3 linked regions of the Arabidopsis thaliana genome follow. The protein of the gene in region 3 interacts with the protein of the main gene of each other region in a pairwise test. Each region holds a gene or a part of one and is shown on either strand. Other genes may lie near its edges.

The links. Proteins that work in one complex are often made in the same cells at the same time.
Region 1: the proteins of AT5G50840 (region 3) and AT1G58070 interact in a two-hybrid assay, tested with the Arabidopsis thaliana proteins (one large-scale study listed by BioGRID).
Region 2: the proteins of AT5G50840 (region 3) and TRB2 interact in a two-hybrid assay, tested with the Arabidopsis thaliana proteins (one large-scale study listed by BioGRID).

The regions. Positions count from the first base shown.
Region 1 is NC_003070.9:21,499,946-21,506,469, forward strand, and holds AT1G58070 (WEB family protein), read left to right. Parts: upstream 1-2,959; 5' UTR 2,960-3,022; coding exon 3,023-3,877; 3' UTR 3,878-4,133; downstream 4,134-6,524. Other genes in the region: AT1G58060 (RNA helicase family protein), read right to left, coding at 1-104, 188-338, 830-883, 1,047-1,240, 1,321-1,426, 1,531-1,830; ATP-PRT1 (ATP phosphoribosyl transferase 1), read right to left, coding at 4,617-4,712, 4,896-5,015, 5,096-5,176, 5,252-5,365, 5,458-5,559, 5,741-5,824, 5,934-6,041, 6,122-6,187 and 1 more.
Region 2 is NC_003076.8:26,953,177-26,960,791, reverse strand, and holds TRB2 (Homeodomain-like/winged-helix DNA-binding family protein), read left to right. Parts: upstream 1-3,017; 5' UTR 3,018-3,268; intron 3,269-3,684; 5' UTR 3,685-3,718; coding exon 3,719-3,868; intron 3,869-3,945; coding exon 3,946-4,166; intron 4,167-4,250; coding exon 4,251-4,335; intron 4,336-4,408; coding exon 4,409-4,492; intron 4,493-4,589; coding exon 4,590-4,949; 3' UTR 4,950-5,224; downstream 5,225-7,615. Other genes in the region: WIH1 (cysteine-rich TM module stress tolerance protein), read left to right, coding at 566-611, 699-855, 993-1,038; FRO1 (NADH-ubiquinone oxidoreductase-like protein), read right to left, coding at 1,436-1,492, 1,800-1,829, 2,011-2,140, 2,325-2,413, 2,561-2,719; DG1 (Tetratricopeptide repeat (TPR)-like superfamily protein), read right to left, coding at 5,312-5,896, 5,969-6,376, 6,457-6,614, 6,705-6,798, 6,896-7,009, 7,121-7,312, 7,422-7,503, 7,596-7,615. UniProt on the Arabidopsis thaliana protein: Binds preferentially double-stranded telomeric repeats, but it can also bind to the single G-rich telomeric strand.
Region 3 is NC_003076.8:20,682,737-20,691,312, forward strand, and holds AT5G50840 (alpha-taxilin-like protein), read left to right. Parts: upstream 1-3,081; 5' UTR 3,082-3,166; coding exon 3,167-3,458; intron 3,459-3,547; coding exon 3,548-3,615; intron 3,616-3,709; coding exon 3,710-3,821; intron 3,822-3,916; coding exon 3,917-3,984; intron 3,985-4,082; coding exon 4,083-4,160; intron 4,161-4,682; coding exon 4,683-4,747; intron 4,748-4,987; coding exon 4,988-5,054; intron 5,055-5,162; coding exon 5,163-5,345; intron 5,346-5,522; coding exon 5,523-5,579; intron 5,580-5,679; coding exon 5,680-5,775; intron 5,776-5,871; coding exon 5,872-6,003; 3' UTR 6,004-6,186; downstream 6,187-8,576. Other genes in the region: AT5G50830 (nuclear polyadenylated RNA-binding protein), read left to right, coding at 716-1,331, 1,504-1,571, 1,649-1,813; MAB1 (Transketolase family protein), read left to right, coding at 6,935-6,976, 7,098-7,160, 7,751-7,831, 7,918-7,944, 8,043-8,105, 8,210-8,296, 8,509-8,576.

The DNA.
Region 1 (6,524 bases), on a different chromosome or scaffold from region 3:
CTCATGAAGGTTATCGGAAATGGGACAGGTTGATTCTTGTTCTGTAGCACTTTCAAAAGCATGTTCACGCTGAAATTCAGATTCCAACATTGCTTCTGATAACCCTGTAAAACAAACTCAAATATCTCATGACATGCTGCACCAAGTTAAATGATTGACTGATTCATTACTAAAGATTAAACTTAACCAAGATCAGATATCTCTTGCTTGAGCTTGCGAATGGCTAGGCCTGCTTGCTCCTGTCCTCTTTTATCACGCTTCTCCTTTGCTTTTATAGCATCTGATCTTGCCGAATAGTATTCTTTGGCAATCACATCGAATGGCCTTGGACCAGAGACCTAGTATGATTTTTGAAATCAAGATATCACAGCAGAGAGAGACATAAAACCAGGAAAACAAGACCAATATGGTATTGTACAACTAATTTGACTGAAGTTTGCAATTTCACATAATCATCATAAACAAATGAAGAAAAGTTCCACTTCTACCAAATGGGAAAGAAAATATATTGATAGCAGGTAGCCACAAAGACTCCAAAAATTGAACCAAATATCTTACTAAACCTCTGCCATAATGGATACGCTTAAGGTAATCCTTTTTTCAGAAAAAACAACAATTCATTAAACAAATTCAAGAGCTTCCAGATATTCATAGTTCTGTAAAGGTCTAAAAAACATGAGGAATATTTACCCTTGAGCAACATGCATGAAAGCTAATATACAAGGACATTGCAAAAGTGTAACCACATAAACATCCATCTTGGAACTGGTCTCACTAAGTAGTCTACCATATTCCATTTTGTTTCGATAATGGAAACAAGCTGAATTACCTTATTTCTGGGGTCAATACCATCTACTTCATCTTCCCAACATTCCAATTCTTCCTGCAAATTTAATTCAATGAGAAAATTCATCCATGAACTAAATTTTGCTTTGAATTGCGCTTCCGGATCATTTTTCTAACTCTGCTTAAGACGTTGTGGCTAGAACCAAAATGTATGAAGCTTTCACAAAGTGATTAATCATTAAAGCATTCTATATGAGTACCTCTTCCTGTCTCATCATATACTGCCGAATCCAATCAGCTTGAGATGACTTGTCAGAACTAAGAGTATCTTCTTCATCTTGCTTTCCCTTCACACGAACAAAAACTGCAGGTTCCTCTTCCTCTACCCTGACTGAAGAGTCAGTAGAATCATTCCAATCGTCCCGTGAGGTCGATATCACACCCACAGAACCTCCTACAACCCCAATAGGAAGGTACAGGCATCAATACACGAGAAGTACAATCATTTACGTGAAGGCAATGTTATGTACATACCTGTGGAAGGAAAACGAGAAGCTCCAGTAGAAAACTTCACAGGCAACTCATGACTCGGCAAATTCAAACAAAGCCAATCAAGTGCAGCCTCAAACGTAGCTCCATCCTTAAACACAAACATACACATTGTATCAGGAATAGCTTGAAGAAGCTAAACATTTTTCAAAATGAAATCGAAATTAAATTCAAACAAAGGCGAGAGAGTTATACTCTAAGAGAGGAGAGAGCGAGTTCAATCTGATCATCAACGAAACCTTCGCAAGAGAGCTTCTCATAGACATTATTGAGTTTCTTTGTCTTTTGAGCTTTGGAGAGAGAATTACTGATTGGAGCTGGAATCGAAGGACCGGAGCGGCCAGAGTTGAGTAAGAGCCGCCGCAAACGATCCTCGTTCTCCGCTGATATCTGAAGCTTAGGACCTGAAGAAGGTTTCTGATAATTCGATTTCGACGATGAAGAAGACGAAGCAGCTTTGTTGCTTTGCTTCTGAGGTTTCTTCTTCGGAGCCATTCTCTTCCGACTAGCCTCCTCTCGTCTCGTCCGATCAAAAAAACGGAACCTGAAAGTCGGAGAAGAATATTAAATTTTGGGCCTCATGAGCTTTATTCTTAAAGCCCAAATGTTGTTATTTGTTTATTTTCTCCCAAATATTGTTCCTCTTTGCCGACCAAAATCCAACCGAACTATCTTTTTATACCGAATTTTGAGAAACCGAATCCGAACCAAACTAATCAACCAAAATTCACTAAAAAGGTCAAAAACCCCAATGTATTTCTATAAAAAAAAATATAGAGAAAAAAAAATAAATATATTAACATGTATATAATAAGTTGTTGTTGTTGTTTTTTTTTCCCAAATCCGAAGCTGATATTCAGTTTTGAATAAACTCAGTTTTCAAAATTTAAAAACTAATCCAATGTTATTTAATCATGGATTTTTAAAACATTTCAAGTAATTTGTGTTAAAATATCAAATCCTCTGTTATTCAATCATTGATTTTAAAATTTCTAATGAAATCCAATATTTATTGAACTAGTGATTTGAAAATCTACTTTAAAATCTCATGTTATTGAAAACATTTTAAGGATTGGATTTTTAGTAATTTTAAGAGACTTTAGTGAATTTTAGTGGATTCCTTAGTTTAAATACAAAAATTTAAATCTCATAGTTTTGTTTTTTTGTAGGCAAATCTCATAGTTTTAAGTGGGATTTGAGAGGATTTTGATTTTATATTTGAGTTAATTTGGGTTTTATATGTTTTTTATATAACAAATTGTTGTTTTGTTGGAAACTTTCAGGTGGAGTTAGTTGAGGAGAGGCCTCTGTTTTTTTTATTGTCTTCTTTAGTCTCTTTGGTATTTTGGTTTGTCTTCTCTTGTTTGTGAGATTTTAAACATTGTCTACAAAATGACACTTTTTAAGTTTAAAATTATAATTGGTCATGCAGTTAGAAGTTTATACTTTTAACGAATACTGACGTTGTAAAGAGATTTGGACAAGACTTAAAACTGATTTAAGTAAACAAAAAGTAGTTGGCAAGTCAACTTTTAAGGGACTTGGTATGGTCTTGACTTCACCTTGACACAACAGTCATCTAGTCTCTGCCTATAATATGCTGTAAAAGCAAAGAAACCAAACCGATTCCACCCAACAAACCAGCAATACCAAATACAATACATTCTTCTCTATCTATAGTTCCTCCATGGATATAGAAGAGATGGAAGGAAATAATCAAGTGGAGGAACATCATGTCGACACTTCTCGTCCTTTTAGCTCTGTTAAAGAAGCTGTTGCCATATTTGGCCAACGGATTATGCTACCGGTACAAACTCATACCATGAACTCTAAATCGGCAAGTCCTATTGCTGCTAGTCGTAGCATCAACCAGAACGCTAAACCAAGAAGCCCTGGACTCAGCCAGACCGTTAAATTGGTAATTCCTACTGCTAGTCCTAGCATCAGCCAGACTGCTAAATTGGTAAGTCCTATTGCTAGTCCTAGCATAAGCCAGACCGCTTCTTCATCTTCTTCTCCATGGAAGCAACGCTCCTTGTTGCCCCCTTCTCCTCAAGGTCCAAAAGAAGAGATCATGGATGTGTTGAAGAAGCTTGAAGCCGAGATAACGGAAACAAAGACAGAGGTGAAGATGTTGAAGGAGAGAGAATCAGAGACAGAGGTTGCTTTGGCTACTTTAAACGCAGAGCTACATAAGAACAAGTCAAAGATAGCGAAAGCCGAAGCTGATGCTGCAGGGAAGAGCGCGGCAGCCATGACGAAATCAGTTAGCTTCAAGGACACAAAAGAGAAGGAAAATGGAGAGGACCAGAGGAGGAAAGAGCTGATGAGGAAGATGCAGAAGGAGTATCCTTCATTGGCTCAGATACTTGACAGTAACAAAGGAAACAGAGATGGGTATTTTGCGAACACTAAGAAGACGAAGAAGAAGAAGAAACCTATCATTCCTCTTGTGGGAGATTTCTTCTTCTTCAAGAAGAAAGGTTCTTCGCCTGAAATATCTGGACCTCTTTACACTACCTCTTCCACCCTGCACTTTTAACTGATATACCCAAGATCATGTACCCTGCAAGTGTATATATATGTATATGTATGTATGCACATCAATATTCGTAATATCTATGTATGTATGTGTTTTCGTGTGAGTGTGTTTGTGTGTGAGCGTATTCTTTATTTGTTTGTCTCTTTCTCTCTTTGTTTGGATTTTGAGTCCAAACCATCAGCGTGTGTTCCCCCTCTACTGTAACAATTACCTGTCAACTATCAGATTGTGAATATACAATGTTACTCTACTATTAGCACTGATTAGATACACAATCCAAAGATTAACTTCTATATTCGTAGACAAAGATAAAGTGTGTGATTATACAAAGTTAGGAAGTCAGTACGAAAAAGGCCAAGTGAGCATACCTTTCTAGAGACAGGTAACTCGCAACACCGAGCCCGTGTGAGCAAAAGGAATTGGTTTCTGGAACCAAAACCCCCGCCAGGTTAGCAAAAACACAGAACAACAAGTGATAACTATTAACAAATGAGTTCTGCAAAGATGTATTATTAAAAAAAGGCTTGTTTTTATTGTTCCAACGGGATTAACAACAACGAATAGGATCCATACAGAAAAGAGATGTAAAAATTACAACAGCACGGAGGACGACGACTGCAGCAGAAAAGGGAAAGAAAAAAAAAAAAGAGACACGCAAAGGTACCAAAAAACTCAGAGATTTACACCAAAGAGTCTTCTTAAAACTTGTTCAGCATATGCATCTTCCTTACCAAAGCATTTAAATCCCGAGGTTTCTCAGGAGCTGACCCCATCTTGGAGTATCCTCATCAAAAATGTAGGTCAAAGGTGAAACTAATACCCCACTGCCTCCGGCCTGCAATAACATTTATGAAAATGACCAAACCAAAAGAGGGAACGATAAACACAGATTTATGTGGAACGTGGTTGGTGCAAAAGTAGAAAGAGGATCAATAAGTTTTAAAGATCGGGTGGGAGTAAGATAATTGAGAAAAAAATGGCAGGGATTACTAAGAGAGAAATGGCAGGGATTACTAACCGCTCTAAGTTGCTTCACAGAGTCGTATAGGGCCTTTTTTGGTACACAAATCACGATGGCATAGTAGTCAACCGATACTTTTCCATTTTGTGTACAGTACACTGGGCTTATTGTCGGTCCCTGCTTGTTATAGACCCCATAAACAATCAGCAAGAACTAAAAAGCTAAGGCTTAAGAACTCCCACATTCTGAAACATTACCTGCAATCCTGACAATGATGGTTGGCTCAGCACACGCTCAGCCACTTCCTGAGCACTATTTCCTCTCATGTTTGCAACAACCTGAAATGAAATTATTAGAGAAAAGAAAGCGAAAGGGGTGAATAAGGAAAACACATCATGGAACCAAGTGCGTACAGTGAATTGGCCATCCGCCTTTAGATGGGCCTCCAATCTCTCAAGAATCTCGTGTACTGTGTTTAGTGCCCCTTTTCTCTCGTTTAATGCTCTTCTACTTGCCACAAGTGCCGCCTGAAATTACAAAGAAAAAAAAAATGTTCAGGAATGATGGCCGCCAACAGATTCTAAACAGACAGTTCATGGATCCAAGAACTTCACATCACCTGGCTTTCCAGCACAACACCTCCTTCAATTTCTTTCAAGTTGTTCTCTTTGAGTGTTATACCACTACTCACAAGATCCAAAATGGCATCAGCTATCCCCATCTAATTAACAAGCACATATGAGTCAACAGATTATGCTGGTAAGGCACAGTAAGATATGAAATCAGGACACTACAAGCTGACAACATTATCCTCCACAGAGCATATCAGTTTAACACTTGTTTTTAGAAAAGAATACAAGCAACTTAATGCCAAATGTTAAGCTTTTCGTTGAAAATCTCACCGCTGGAGCTGCCTCCAGTGCTCCGTCTGCAGTTGAAAACACCACATGCTTTATGCCATTTTCTTTCATAAATTTGGGGCCGAGCTGCAAAAACCAGTTGAATCATTCCCAAATATTATGTTGAAGCGAAATGGACTCTGAGAGAAATTAGATGACAACAGCGCACCAAAGAAGAATCTGTAACTCATCATACATAAGTGAAGCCAGTAGCTAAGCGTAAGGGTCTCTCTTCACTCCATTGGGGCATTTGCGCTAGCTCCTTCAGAGAATTTATATTCTCAAATATCCCATAGTTTGGAATCTGTGACCATTTGAGATACAATCAGAAAACCATCCACGGTAATGACCTGAGGACCTTAACCACAATAGATTAAAGCATACCGCAATAGACAGGTGACAGTCTCCAAAGTTGAGAGCTTCATGGACAATGATAAGATCTTCATTTTCCTAGAAAGAAAATTCAAACATCTAAATTATGATGCAAGGGGGCTTATCAGAGACAATCAAAGGGAAACTTTAAATTTTAAACACTATACGCTAAAGCAACAATATGGCATACTAATGATGAGAGAATAAAAGTAAACTGGTTCCAGCATAATGATAATGATAAAAATCACCACTGCTAATTCCAGCATCCTGAACATGATATCAAAGCTCTTCAAAAGAATATTTTTATGATCATCACTTACCTGACCATATTCACTAAGTGTGTCAAGACCAACGATACCTAGATCCAAATCTCCTGAGAGTAACTTTCTGACAATATCTTTTGGCCGTTGAAACC
Region 2 (7,615 bases), 6.3 Mb from region 3:
CTTCTCCTATTATGATAGTACAAGGATAACGATGGATATTGAAAAATTGACGGAAATGTATTCATTGTATTAGCAAAAGAAGAGGGTAAATTATGTGTCAAATAGTGATTTTAACTTCATAGTAACTTAAACTTTTTTTTGTCAATTTGTTGACATAATTTGCTTAATTCTTTTGAATTTGAAACATATGATGCAGCATTTTGGAGTTAGAATTTAAAACAGTGTAAATTTATGATTACTAAGAACCCCTTTTCTGATATTTTTATTCCATAATTAATGATTCTAGTAGTAGAGTAGTTGAAATTAAATTCTTGTACGGTCAAGTTTCTAGCACATTAGAAGAAGATCACCTAATTTTCAAAGAAATTTAATCGTAATCTTTATGATGCAAGAAAGACTTTATTTAAAGAATATTTCCTTTATTTTCTGGTTCCTTTATTAAATTAAAAGTATATATCATTATTCCTCACCGGCATAGCTTCGTTATAAAGGAAAGGAACAGAGTTTGCTTTTAAACAAAGAGAGAAAGAAAAAAAAGCTCAAAGAACTCAGAAGAAGAAGAAAGATGTATCATCAAGAACAACATCCTGTCGGTGCTCCTCCTCCCCAAGGTATTATCTCTTTTTCTTTAGTTTTGGATAGTTGGTTTATCTTCTTCGATCTGCTTGTTTAATTTGCTCTTGAATTTCGGTTTAAAGGGTATCCACCTAAGGACGGTTATCCTCCGGCCGGTTATCCTCCAGCCGGTTATCCACCGCCAGGATATGCTCAGGGATACCCTGCACAAGGTTATCCTCCGCCGCAGTACTCTCAAGCTCCGCAGCAGAAGCAAAACGCCGGTATGCTTGAAGGATGGTACGTTCTTGATCCCATCTTTTCTACTTTATATTAACTTTATTTTGGTTTCTTGTTTTGCTTTGTATTTAGGTTTTAGTGGAATAATACTGTATTAGTTAATATATGTCTTTGCTCTGTTCATAAATACGTCACAGTTTGGCTGCGCTCTGTTGTTGCTGTCTCTTGGATGCATGTTTCTGATCGGAGGATAATTATATACGTTGCCTCAGTCAACTTTTATTTCCTCATATATGTTATGTAATGTTCAACAATCTTTCTTCTGTTGTTATCTTCTTTCAATTCGAATTTTGGTATCTTATGTTTTATTGACTCCGACCATAATTATCTCTCTCTTTCATAATCCAATCACACGAATTCGAAATAAACCAGTAAAGAAGTGATCAGAAATCTTGATGAAATATCAAAGGAGTGTGTTTCATCATCATCATCATATTATTGTAATAAGTAAACATAGCCATGGATAATGGTTCTTTTCAACCAAAAAGCTCACAGATGCTAAAATAACAAAGAAACATGAGAATTAATATCAAATGAGGTTTCTTCTTTTGCTCGAGAAGAATTGGAAGAAGGTGTAACATCAGTTTTCTGGTTGAGGATTGCCTTTCCACTTGAAGTTGTCCGAGTAAGACTTGACCTGCAGTTAGATGTTAGATGATGAACAATCATGGGGTTAGGTTAAAACTTCAATCTAAAGAATGTTCTACCAAATAAATCAAAGGAATGAAAGAGACTATCGCTCGTCAAACTAGTAGCTAAATCTTAAACTAGAGGCACCAAACCATTTCTGATGAAGCAATATGAGTTAAGTTAAAGAATATCCTATCTATTTAACACAACATTCAAGGGTCGTTCCAGTGAATCTCCAGCTTTAGGGTTAAACACCTCATATGAGTAGAGCTCGTAAGTCATAATGCGGCATTAGCAAAAAGATAGTTACTAACCTTCAATAATGGTGTGTTGGGCTTCTTGACCTGCAATGATTTAGATGTAAGTTTTTCAGTACTCTGAATTCTATATTAAGGGATCTTAAAACAGAACCATCACAATGGTGATCGAAAAAAAAAAAAAACAGAACCATCACATTCTCATAAAATGTGAGTGAATGCGACCAGAAAAAAAAATGAGCTAAAAACGAAGAAGGAAACAACGTACCTTATAATCCCAACCATGACGCTCAGCAAAAGACTTAGCAGCTTCTTCAGAATCAAAAGCAAGAGCAGAGTCACCAACATTAGCATAGGGGTCACCTGTAGAAGTCCATCCCATCAACGGATTCTCCCACCTAGAAACATATGAATGCCATAGATAAGTGATGTCAATCGAAATCTAATCAACAAGTGATGGACTAGTACTAGTCACAAGCAGAAGACTTAAGTTTTGAAAAGATAGGAATTTTAAGGATAAGAATCATATTAGGACATAAAATGTGAGGAAAAGAGGATTATCTTAATCAAAAAGTAGCATACTTTAAGGTGGAGACGAAGTTAATCTTCCATTTTCCGAGTTTTCCAGATCCTGACTGGGTAGCTGTTCTAGCAGGTGAGTATATTATCACCTGTTAATTTCCAAATTCAATACTCTTAGCACTATTCGATTGACCAAAATCAAATCAAGAACACGATGTAGCTCAATTAAGACGATTCTCTGATCACGAACCCTAATTTTCTAAACTGAATTCGTAAGAAATCGAATGCTTATTTACCTTGCGAGAAAGATGCTCCTCTGGGATTCCGGAGACCTTACCGATCTCACCACGCTTGTAATCCGACTCAACCACCGCGTCAGTAGCGAAAGGTCGAGCAACACGCCGGAGCGTCGCCGCTATACGGATAGTCCTTTGAGTAGTAGCACAAAGCGCCATCGTCAATTAGAGAAATCTGGAAAATTGCTGAGCTTTTTGATTTCGCTTTGGTTTCTTCTACTTCTGTAGATTTTAGAAAGAAAAAAAAAACACATATTTCAATCTAGCCATCAAAATTTTATAAATTACGCTTTCGGTCTTACTATTATATGAAAAATCTTTAATAGCCCCTAAACTATCTGTGAGATTTAACAACGATAAATTTTATAGATACATTATTTTTAAAAAATAGTACTAGTATATTTTATTCAGCTTGATCCTATTCATTTAGTTGGTAGGTTTTATTGTGTAATTTGATAAACTTGAGGCAAATTTGTGAATGTGGAGAAATATAGGGTTACATCTTCCTTAGCTTGAATACAAAAGAAAAGCTCAAGTTTGTTTCTCGTTTCTATGGATATTCTTCTTCCTTATGCTAGCCTCTCTGGTCTTCTTCTTCTTCGTTCGTTTCAGCGAATCACATTTGATCTATGACACATCTATACAAGGAATTAGCTTTCATCATCAAGTCTCTCTCTCGAAAACTCTCCTTTGGTTTCGTTTGATCTGGCATGCTTCTTCTCCTCCTTCCTCCTTTCTGCTTCCTTCTCTGAATTTTCCATTTTTGTTTTTAATTTTCTACGATCGCCCCATTTGAATTTGGTTGATAATTTAGCTATCGCTTTAGATTGATGGCTGTATTTCCAAATTCCTGTTGATTTGCGACGTTGTTAATGGGCTTTGATCCTCTTTTTTTGGTTCGAGATTGCTCGAATCACTCATTTTTTTGTTGAATTGAGCTTTGGGGCGTATCTAATTTCTTTGGATTTGTGTAGTTACATTTTTATGTTGTGGCTTTGTGTATCTGCTGGATTTAGATGACCAAAATTTTGTATTGGATAAGAAATGTTCAACAATGGCTTTGATGTGGTTAAGTTTCGTACGATTTAACAGATTCTAATGTTAGCGTTCACATCTATTGGCAGAGAAAAGAAGAAATTCAAATATTGATAACTGTGGATGGGTGCACCAAAGCAGAAGTGGACACCGGAAGAAGAAGCAGCTCTTAAAGCTGGAGTTCTTAAGCATGGGACTGGGAAGTGGCGTACCATACTCTCGGATACTGAGTTTAGTTTAATCCTTAAGTCTCGCTCTAATGTTGATCTTAAGGTAATACAATATAATATGCTTTTTGGAGGTTGTGATCGCGTGTTTCGGACTAATCTTGATAGTTCAAGGCATAACAGGACAAATGGAGAAATATAAGCGTGACAGCTTTATGGGGTTCAAGGAAGAAGGCTAAACTTGCGCTTAAGAGGACTCCACCAGGTACTAAACAGGATGATAACAACACAGCTCTTACCATTGTGGCTTTGACTAATGATGATGAACGTGCAAAACCAACTTCCCCCGGAGGTTCTGGTGGTGGATCACCACGCACTTGTGCTTCTAAGAGATCAATTACAAGGTTTGGTTCCCTGACTTATGCACCACATAACGATTTTCTTGAGTTCATAAAGATTTGATCTTGCGCTATTGTCTGTTTTTGTAGTTTGGATAAGATCATCTTTGAGGCAATTACCAACTTGAGGGAACTACGCGGTTCTGACAGAACATCAATCTTTCTGTATATAGAGGTATTTCTACCATTGGGATTACATGTTTGGTTGGGGTTTGTTGCATACTTACTTAGTAGCTGTTAAATTTCAGGAGAATTTCAAGACTCCACCGAATATGAAAAGGCATGTCGCAGTACGATTAAAGCATTTATCATCGAATGGAACATTAGTTAAGGTAAACACACAACTTTTGATTCAAGATTCATGATCACTAACACTTCATTACTCTCAGAATTTTCAAAAATACTTACTTGGTGATTTCTCACTTTCAGATAAAGCACAAGTACAGGTTTTCTTCTAATTTTATTCCCGCAGGTGCAAGACAGAAGGCTCCTCAACTCTTTCTGGAAGGAAACAACAAGAAAGACCCAACAAAACCCGAGGAGAACGGTGCCAACAGTCTCACTAAATTCCGAGTAGACGGTGAATTATATATGATAAAAGGCATGACAGCTCAAGAAGCTGCAGAGGCTGCAGCAAGAGCAGTTGCAGAGGCAGAATTTGCTATCACAGAGGCTGAACAAGCAGCAAAAGAGGCAGAAAGAGCAGAAGCAGAAGCTGAAGCTGCTCAGATATTTGCAAAGGCAGCCATGAAAGCTTTGAAGTTCAGGATCCGTAATCATCCTTGGTGAAACAGAAAGAAATAGCCATCATGGGGAAGTTCTGTAACAAAGCAAGCCATAAAATATATATACTTAGTGGGTTTACTGGTTTCTTAAGAGTGCCGATCTTGAATCAGGCGATATCTCATCACCTGCAGAGTTTTTTAAGTTTCCAAACCTATCTGCTCTCTTTTTTTGGTTAGTAACAGTGTAAATCCGCAGTTTGATCATATGTATGTTCTTTCTCCGAATCTGAGATTCTGTATAACTGATCTTTTATTGTATGTGGATGATCTGTTTAGTAACCTTGAAACTATTTTGAAGTGAGATGAGTAAGCAAAAAAATTGAGATTTTGTTCTACTAAAGATTTTGAGGAAATTTACAAGCATTTTCATTCTTTCTTACTACTCTCTTCCCATTCTTTCAGAATGTCATAAACTGAAAGTGAATCAGAGTCGCTAGATTCTTCATCATCATCAATCTCGAGTTCTTCTAGACCCAACGTTTCGAGTTCAGTCTCTGTAAATTCCCAAGCTTCACCATTAGCACTATTATCATCTTCCATTGTTGTATCTTGCAGAAGCAAATCTTCCTCCGGTTTTTCGCCCTGACTTTGAGTTGTTACATCTACGGCTAACAATGGTTGTGCTGAAGAAGAAGAAGACCCACATCGAGATTTCAATGACTTTGAGAGGTTTGAGACCGTTGGTTCACTTACATAATCACACTCAATGAGATGATCCGAGAGCTTATGAAGATTATCTTGAGTAAGCCAGTCTTGATGCTCCTCAAAAAGATCAGTCCATTCTTCTTCACTAATCTGGAAAGATGCGAGAGCCACAGTGTTAATCAGTGTGATAGCTCTTTGGAAATCGCCTTTAGCTGTGGCATGACACAACAGTTCAGTGAAGAACAATGGGTGAGGGATTTCTCCATCTTCAAGTACTGCATCGAAGGCATGCTCTAGAAGACTCCACTGCATTAACAAACAAAATTAGACAACAGCTTATGCTTCCATAAACACTTAAACTAGACAAAGATTTGTTACCTTCCCGGCTCTTGATGCTTCTATCAGCATTGATGCATGTTTTGTTTGATCCATTTGGTAACCAGAAAGAACCATCGTTTGATACACATGTTCAAAGTATTCCCATTGCAGTGATCTAGCTGAAGCTTCAAGCATGAAGCTGTATGTATACTCGTTTGGAACTAAATGAGTCTCTTTTCTGCTGACAATCTCTTCAAACAATTCTTTAGCTTCTGAAAACATATCATTCCTTCCGTAAACTTTAAGCATCATGTTCGCAGTTCCTATATTCGGATCACATTTATCTTTCATATATTGGAATATAGCCATGCAATCATCAACATGACCACCGTTCAATGAAGCGGCTATGAGTCCTGTGAAGGTAATCTCGAGCGGCCTGCAATTTTCAAGTCTTTTCATCCTCCCCACCTGCATTAATGAATTATGAAGAAAGTTAATTTTGTGGGTTTCTCTGAGAAGCAAAAAGGGTAAAGTAGGAGGGAACTTGCTTCGAGCATTGCATCGCACCAACGCCCGTTGTTGCACAGACAGCATGCCAATTCATAGTAAACTGAACCCGTTCCTATAACTCCCTTTTGTTCCATATCTCTGACTGCTTCAACAGCTTCTTCGATCTTGCCTTCTCTCCAGAGAGCTCGGACAAGAACTGAGAATCAATCATACGCTATAAGAATCATATCACCTTATAGATACCAAAATGAAGTAACCTAAATATACAGAGAGAATCAATATTTACCCTTGTATGTGATTGCTTTTGGAGCTTCGCCACTGCTTTTCATCTTCCTAAAAAAATCGTGAACACGATCAAACTTCCCTGACTCCAGCATAACCTGTCAAAATGACATCTTAAGACCACCCTACATATTTGAGGGTACCCACAAATACTACACCACAGCAGTTCGTTTATGTTGGAAAAAAGAACGCTACCTCCATCGCAAGCCCATATGTAGCTCCATTAGGCCTCAAACCATTTTTTCTTAACTCTACAAATACCCATGAAACAGCCTTCCATTGGAGTGTTGGAACACAAGCGTTAAGAATCTGGGAACCAGTGAAGCCAAGAATTGATCACACAGCAATAAGATACAGTGATTCGCTGCATAGTGCATATAGATATTAAACGAAGTTTAAAACTCGGAAATGCTCACTTACAGCGTTGTATACAACCAAGTCAGGTTCAAGCACAGGATCCCAGTTCTTTTGCCGCAAATTCTTAGTTAGTTTAGTCGGTTTCTGCCTCATACGCTCGATTACTTTAAGCAACTCCTTCAATAAACCCGCTTGCCCAAGTGTTACAGCAATACAGTGGTACGCCGCCATATCAGGATATAACTGGCGATCACCCTAAAGTGACTAAGGAATGAGAGTTAATCCAAAAAACGCAAGATGCTATAGTACAACGATCATCTACATCAACCATATCACGAACTGACTTAAATCAGAAGCCACTTACAAGCATCTGATTGAATATCTGAAGAGCTTCCTGTGGCCTCCTCGCAAACCCAAGAACGGACAAAAGCTTGGTGTAAACAAATCTGTAGAAACCAGTCTTGTATACAATCAGAAATCAAGTTTTACAGATTCTATGGCCATGAAAGTTGAAATCTTTTCGCCAGGAATACATTACCTGCTCCTAAGATGTTTACG
Region 3 (8,576 bases):
ATCGCATTTGATTAATTTAGGCTGATGAGCAATATGTATGCAATATGCATGGATGGTGTAGAAGCGAAGACAACTATCACCATACTTAAGATTAAAATCACCACAATTTTAATATAATTTAACAATATGATTTTATGCATAATTAATTGGACTTAATTATTACTAAGACATTATCAGTTTGCAACCATCCAATTTCATGTAGAACAAGAAGTCTTTAGATTAACCCTCACAAAAGACTTTCCGTTTTTCGGGGTTTTTTCTTGACTAAACAAATAATCTTGGAGACATTAATGATGTTATGAGTCATGTGACCAATACAGTTATTTAGACATCAAAGTTATCTGCAAATTCATTAGAGACGAACGGTAATAGTCACACATGACAATAAGAATGAAGATGTCACTTAGATAAAAATTAAACCAACTCATGTATTTGCCTAAATAAATCACTATTTACCAAATTTAGCAAACAAATCGTAACTAACCAATCAACATCACACAATCTCAACCCTTTAATAATCTCACATTCTCTCGCTTCTTCTTCTCGGATTCCTAAATATTATCATTCATTCATCATCCTCCCAACTCATTGGCTCTCTTCTCTCCTCTCCTTTGCCTATTTTCTAAAATCTTCTCCGGCCACCCACCGGCCACCTTATGATCTTTTTGGTGGCGGCGATTACACCATCAATTTGTTAGTTTATTTATATATTAATATGGGTTGCGGTGGCTCGAGGCTTGGAGGTGTGGCGACGACAAGGGCGGAAGAAGGCGGGGTTGTGCCACTTCCAGCGGGAATACGTCCCCTTCTCCGGCGAAGGTTAGAGGAGATGAAGAAACGGAGCCATGCAGGCGTCTTGAAAGGGAGCCAGACGTTGTCTAAGAAAGAGCTTCTTAGGCATAACTCTTCCGAGGACGGAGAAGATACGGAGGAGAACGACGGTAGCTTGAAGGCGTCCGCTAAGGTTGCTCCGGCGCCTGATCATAATGTAGAAGAGAAGAAAGAGGTTATTTATGAAAAGATTCCATCCAAAGATGATGTTAAAGAGGTGAAGGAAGAAGTAGTTGTGAACAAACAAGAAGAGGACAATCATCATCAAGATGTTGTGGAGAAACAAGAGGAGGAAAATAAAGAGGTTGTGAAGAAGCAAGAGGAGGAAAATCATGATGATGATGTGGTCGTCATCAATGTTAAGAAGGAAGGAGATGATGGTAAGAATCATGATGTTGATGAAGGGAGTATCAACAACTTTGATGAGAGAATGATTGGTCCTGGATCTCCAAGCTTTAGGGTTTATTGCGTCGATGTTCCTTCTGATGATGATGATGAAGGTAAATCATATGTTCTTATACAAACACACATATATACATGTATAAATCATTTACTATTTGTATTTGTATATGGATGCATGCATTGTTAGAGACATATATATGTTTATATATGAAATGCTTGTTATATTATGTAGTTTCGTTATTGAAACAATTTATCCATTCACTATTGCAGAAAAAGATGTAGAAGACGCGAGAAAGTCGATGGAAACCGAAAGCGTCACGACAGAGATAAAAGAGGTGGTCAATCACATTAATTCACATTATTGATTATTTGATCTATGAGGATCTCTAACAATGATATATTTGTATTTCTATAGGACGGAAGCATTGTCAAAAAGGAGAAAAAAGAAAGAAGAGGAAAGAGGTTCGGAATCGCATTGCCGAGGAAGTATTTAGCAAATGTGACTGCGCCGTGCTATGCAGGTGGAGGATGCATGGGAAACACTCATTCTCGTTTGGTGCAAGAGAAATCGAGCCAGTGATCGATCAAAATATGTTTGCCATCTTTGCATTGACTGATTTGTTGAAGTAAGAATGGTGTGGTGTACGTACGGGATCACGATGAATAATCAAAACCACCTTACGATTTTAGACCTTTGATTTGTTTTAAGAGACGCTTGTTTCAGAATTTGTACAACCTCTTCTTCTTCACCTTTGCTTTCTTTGATCAGGATAATTAAGTTAGTGTTTGACGAATTTACTTTTTTCCACGTGGAAAGATGTAATTAATTGAACTTGTGCAATAAAAAAAGTGTTGTCTAAATGTCAAATTTATTGTTACATTAACCAATGAAAATAAAATTAGAGTAACATATAGGAAACTGCAATTATAGAAGAAAAAACACACTAAAAGGTGTAAGTAATTGAACTTTGTGAATTCCGTTTGTTTTCGGAATGCACAAGTGTTAGTCATAATAGGAAAGATAAAAATCTTAATTACAAATCCTAAAATACAATTTTTAATTTATTTTTTAGAGTTTATATTAATATGTCGTCAAAAACGGTATATTATTCAGAACAAAATTATCGTTGACCATTAGTTAATTAATAACCAAGTTCAAATTTGATAATTTGAAAGTTTATTTAGACAAAATTAATTAGTTGAAAGTTTTATCAATGATGGCCTCTTAAATTTTTAACTTTTTTTTGTTGAGTTTTATAAAAAAGAAAAAATGGTTTTCAAACTAAATTTGTTTATGATCATGTTTATCCGAGTTAAGCCCAATTTGAGATCTTTGTCAGTAATGACTAAGAGTACCTCCCGCATATAGAATTCATGTAGTTTCTAAAACATATATATATTTTTTTAACTTTTAAATATATATATTTTTTTAATTGTATGAGTTTCTACTAAAAAATTACTATTGAAGTTGGTCTAAGTTGCGAGACCAAATTTTTATATGCTTTCGGTTCGAATTGACATTTCTCTGTGTAAACGAAGCATCAATAAGAATTTATCAAACTTGAATGTAACACCATTTCTTTAGTTGATCATTTCCAAACATTTATTAATCAAATAAAATTGAATTTCAAAGTCACGTGATAATGATGATACTCAAATTTAAAAAACCAATAACACTTTATTTCAACATTTCTATGAAGAAATCAATTATTAACACTTAAAGTTATTAATTGAATAACAACGAACAACATTTAATTTAGTCAAAATTAGATTTTTTTTTTCTTTTTTTTGGTTTTATTGTTAAGATTTTATACCAAATAAAATTTTACAAACGAATCTAAAAGAAAGAACAAATTTAAACTTACCTATCAGAATTGTTGTAAGATATTTGGGTTTTCTTCGTATTAGGTTTCATCAGATCCAGACTCAAAAAATGGAGTCACCGCACTCGAATTTGCTCCCTGAAGTCGATTCTTTACCCGATGGATTCGTCGACGGCGCAACAGAGCCGCCTCTCAATTCTCCCAAGACCCAGGAAGAAACAACAAACCATGAAACTGTTGCGATCGAGAAAACAGAGAAGCCAAGAACTTTTCCGGTTCCGTTGTGTGAAACTGATGGTAATGAAGATGACGAAGTAGCTGACCTAATTCAAGAATCAATCAAGCTTGAGTTAGAGTTCGAGCAGAAAGAAAAAGAAGCTTCTCCTCCTATTTCTCAAACATGTGAGTGAAAATGTGAAGCTTAATTTCTTTATAGGAATTTGCTTCTTTTGTAACCTAAAGTTTGTTTCTTTGCTTTTTGTTTGAGTTAGTGTCAGAAGGGTCAACTCAAAATTCAACCTTGTCTAAGGAAATGGATTCACTCAAACCCAAAAAACAAGTCAGTATTTTGATGAGTTCTTCAATCTTGTTGCTTTGAGAAGAATATATGTTGAAGATGATGTATCTGATTTGTGTGCTGATGATATTGAAAGCAGGAGGTGGTTGAGAGCAAGCGTAAGGGTTCAAAGAATATGTTCAAATCAGAGAAAGAGTTTTTGGAATTTATGCTCAAGTATCAGCAAGTCCTTTCTGAAAGAGATTCTGGTAATAGGATATCAATAAAACCAAACTAGTTTTGTGTTACCTTCATCGTTTAATGCTTTATAGTCTGTACTCATCATTATTGTTTTTAACCGTAGCTATTACTGTTCGTGACAAGCTTGAATCACTTTGTAGAGAGTTACAACGTCAGAACAAAATGTTAATGGTTTGTTCTTTCTTTCTTCTTGCTTACTCTACTTGGTGTGTCTTGTTTTGAGGAACTAACCTTTTGGTGTGTAAACTAAATGTTCCTTTGTATAACAGGAAGAATGCAAGAGGGTTTCAACTGAGGGACAGACTTTAAGATCGGATTTATCGACAAAGTTCCAGGATGCTATAATGGTAAGTTGAACACATTTTTCTTTCGATGTGAATTCTTCCCAGGGTTTTGATCTTTGCTGAATATAGAAATTTGAGCCATTTTGCCGTCGGTATTGGCAGTTTTAGAGAGGAACAAGTATTGGATAATAGCTTTGTTTTGTGTTTCTAAGTATGCAAATCTTAAATGCACATCATTTATTGATCCTTGTTATATTTTCTTAGGATATTATCTCCTTTAATCTTCCGTGCTATATGCTTTGGACAGTCATGGCAATATCTTTTTCTTCTTTCTGAAACTCTCTACACTGACATTGGCAAATGTTAGTACCGATCTACACTAAAATTTAGTCCTTGGAAATAATTGGAACTAAACAAAGTAGAAAATTGTCCATATTGGTTTCAAGTTACAGATTGATAGAACTAAGTTTGATGAATTGCTTGCAGGCTTTTGCAACATCAAAAACTTACAAAAACAAAATCAGAATTTATTTGATTGATTTTTTTCTTATGCTCTCTACCTTCCTAATCCTCTTTTGTTTATAGGATGTGAGCATTAAGTTGGACGAGCAAAAGAATGAAAGCCTCACGCAACTCAAAGAAAATGAGATGTAAGCGGAAAGAACTCAATCATAACATGTTCATTTGGAGTAGGAAAATTATAGTATGTTTATTATATATGTATAGTTTTGTTGCAGTTTAAGTTAATACAGTATGAATATGCTCGCCCACATTCTGGAAACTATATTCTTACATGTGTATTGCTTTTAAAACGGCTTTGCTTGTATCAGCTCAGTAACATATTATAAAGGTCCATTCTAATTACAATGGGTTTGTTTCTTAATCTCCAGGTTAAGGACGAAGTTGAAGCACCTGGCTGATCAATTTATGCTTTCAGAACAACAACATGAGCAAAGGGTAATTAAATTATTCGTTTTTTCCAACTATATATGAAGCATGATTTAGCCAAAATAATTGGCTTAACTGCGATGTCTACTTGACAACATCTCATTTTCGAATGGACAGTTGAAGCAGAAAACACTTGAGCTACAGATCTCTGCTTTAAAAATTAAACAGCACGAGGAGAAACTCATCCATGAACAATCTCAGATGAAAGTTTACGCAGATCAAGTTTCTCAGCTTTTGTCTACTGAGAAAAATTTGCGGTTGCAGCTGACTTCTGATGGAGATAAATTCCAGCAGTTCCAGGTCTGCTCTCTTCCCCTTTTACACTTCCTAAATAAGTCTTAATCGTTTTCTCGATGCACTGTGATCACAGATAATAAGATTGCTTGCTTTGGGTGTGATACAATACTCTCTTAAGATATGTTTTTTACTGATATTATATGAAAAGACTGTAAAGTGAAAGGCTGTTTGGTTATGCAGGACGCGTTGGTTAAGAGCAATGAGGTGTTTGAAACATTCAAACAAGAAATCGATAAGGTAATAACAGTTTTATACCTTCGAGGTTCTTTGAAAGATCATAAGTGCTATTTATGTGATCTTATTAACTTGATCCTGTCTCTATTGGTTTTTTGAGTAGATGTCAAAAGCAATCAAAGAACTCAGAAAAGAAAACGCATTCTTGAAAAACAAAACTGAGAAGTCGGATATCACTCTCATAGAACTCGTCGAAGAGGTAAAACAAAACCGTCTGTTCTCTCACTATCTTTAAGGGTTTGTAGATTTTGGTTATGAAACCAGTAAAATCACACTTTTGGTTGACCTTGAACAGCGTGAAAGATTGAAGAAACTGTTGGAGAAGACAAAGAAACAGAAAGACAAGCTTGAATCACTTTGCAGATCCCTTCAAGCTGAAAGAAAACAGAAAGAAACTAACAGTACTGATTCTGCTGTTCAACCATGAAACAGAGAGAGACTATGAATTCAGTGTTTTGCTCTCTTTTTTTCTTTGTCAGAGTTTTGAACTAATTAGCACTTCAGATTACAAAACTACAATTAGACTCCAAATTCACTTTAAAATGTAGAAACATATCACATCATATTGATTCTGCTCTTTTGCGAGCTAAGTCCATTTTATCTCACAAAATGCAAATTGATAATAGTTAATTCAGCTGCAGCTTCTGCAAATCTCCAGGTTCACAAGAGAATGATTCTGCATTCACTAAGTTCACAACCGATTTGGAGAAGAATAGCTACTTCAACATCTGCCATAATGACCAGCTGATTCTTTGCAATCTTAAACCAAACCGAACCGAACCATTTGAACCGAAGAAAAGTTAAACCGATATGGATTATGATTCGGTTTGCATCTTTATGGATTCGGTTAGTTAAAAAAAGCGAATCTCTCTGAATTAAAATAAGTATAACGTCAAATTAAATTTGGTCACATCCACTTTCCTTTACAAACTTCAACAACATCAAATGGAATAATATAATATTGGAAAAGAAAAAGTATATAACGAAATGTCAACCATCGATCATGACCAGCAGATATTAATCGGACGGCTCCTGTACAATTCGATGAAGAAGACCTACTCTCTCATTTATTCAGCTAATTGAAATCATTTCGTTGTGTTTTAGAACAACAACAAAAAAACAGTGCCCTTTCGCTCACGCTTTGAGTCGTATCTGCTCTCTTCTTAATCCGCCGTCTCTCACTTTTTCGCCGGCGTGGTTAGATCGTACAAAGCTCAGGTAATCAAATCTATCTCCGATGTTGATCTACTCTGTTTCTCCGGATTTATGATTTCTCTATTCAATTTCCGATGATTGTTAGATCTACGGGGCTTTTGATCCTGCGATTACTGTTGCTTTTTGTTTGTTAATCAGAGAGAATGTTGGGAATCTTGAGGCAAAGAGCCATCGATGGAGCTTCGGTATGAGACTTTTTTACTCCTTTTATTTGTTTCAGTGCGATTACGATTTTGAGATTTTTACTTGGGAGATTTTTAGGTTCGGATTTTGTTTTCTGATTTTCGAAATTTGGTTTTTGATCAGACTCTTAGGAGGACGCGATTCGCATTGGTTTCTGCTAGGAGCTATGCAGCTGGTGCAAAAGAGGTAAAATGTCTTTTATTGAATTTTCGGATGGTTTAGAAGCGTTATTATACAGGTTTGGTTTTAATGAGCTATTGGAAGATAATTGTGGTCAATTTAGGATGATTAGAGCTGTTAATGTCTGCCAAACCACTTTTCTACTCTAAACTTTTTCTTTGGATGATAGCTTAATGTTGTCTTCTGCAAACTATGTCGATTACTTTTTTTTTTGTGTTCACCGAAATGTCGAGTTTAGCTATATTGGATGTTTTTTGATTTTGTAAACTGTGAGCATCCAAGAAGCGCAAGGGTCGATAATCATTGCATAGATGTTTAAGCCTATTAGCTTTCTCTCATTAGTTCTGACATTGAAAATGGTGGATTGATAGCTGACTCACATAAATAGTGTAGTGACATTTAGAATCCCAACAAGTGTAGCTTAAGTTAGATTTTAATTTACGTTTCGAGAACCCAATTTTTTTTTCATATAGTTGATAAAGCTGATACGGCCGTCAGTCTTTGTTAATATTTGTCAAACATATTTCTCCTTGTATGTGGAATTTCCCAAAATATTGTAATATTGCTTACAATTTTTTGTGCAAATCATTGTTTAGATGACAGTCAGAGATGCTCTAAATTCTGCAATTGATGAGGAAATGTCTGCTGATCCTAAAGTATTTGTCATGGGTGAAGAGGTTAGTTGCAGCTAACATGTTTGATAAATTCATCTTGCAATTTCTAATCAGATATCAATATCTCATCTTTTATCTTGTTATTGTAGGTTGGCCAATATCAAGGTGCCTACAAGGTTAGAATTATTTGACCTGATGGAAATAGATATTTTCCAGTTAAATTTCTCTTGTTTTGACCCTGATCTGATGCTGGAGGTCTATCATGTACTCATAGATCACTAAAGGCCTTTTGGAGAAATATGGTCCTGAGAGAGTTTACGATACCCCTATTACTGAGGTTTGGAATTCTTATACTATTATCTTGTACTGCAGTCTCAATCCTTATTTCCATGTTTCTTGATTGAGAAGATTTCTGACAGTTATCGTTTAACCATGTTTTAGGCTGGATTTACTGGAATTGGAGTTGGTGCTGCCTATGCTGGCTTAAAGCCCGTTGTAGAATTTATGACGTTTAACTTCTCTATGCAGGTTAGCGTTGGTTTTTGTTATATTCTTTGAATACTACATTTTGCCTCTTTCTTTGACTTGATTATGCATAATTGTTGCGTTACTCAGATCATGCACTCTGGTGCAATATGTTTCCAGTTATCGTACACTTTATCTTCTTTCGGACATTAAAGTGCACTAAAGTTCTAATTATTTCCCAATGTGTATCCTAATATCTAGTAATCTTCTTTCAGGCAATTGATCATATCATCAATTCCGCTGCAAAGTCAAATTACATGTCTGCTGGACAGATAAATGTACC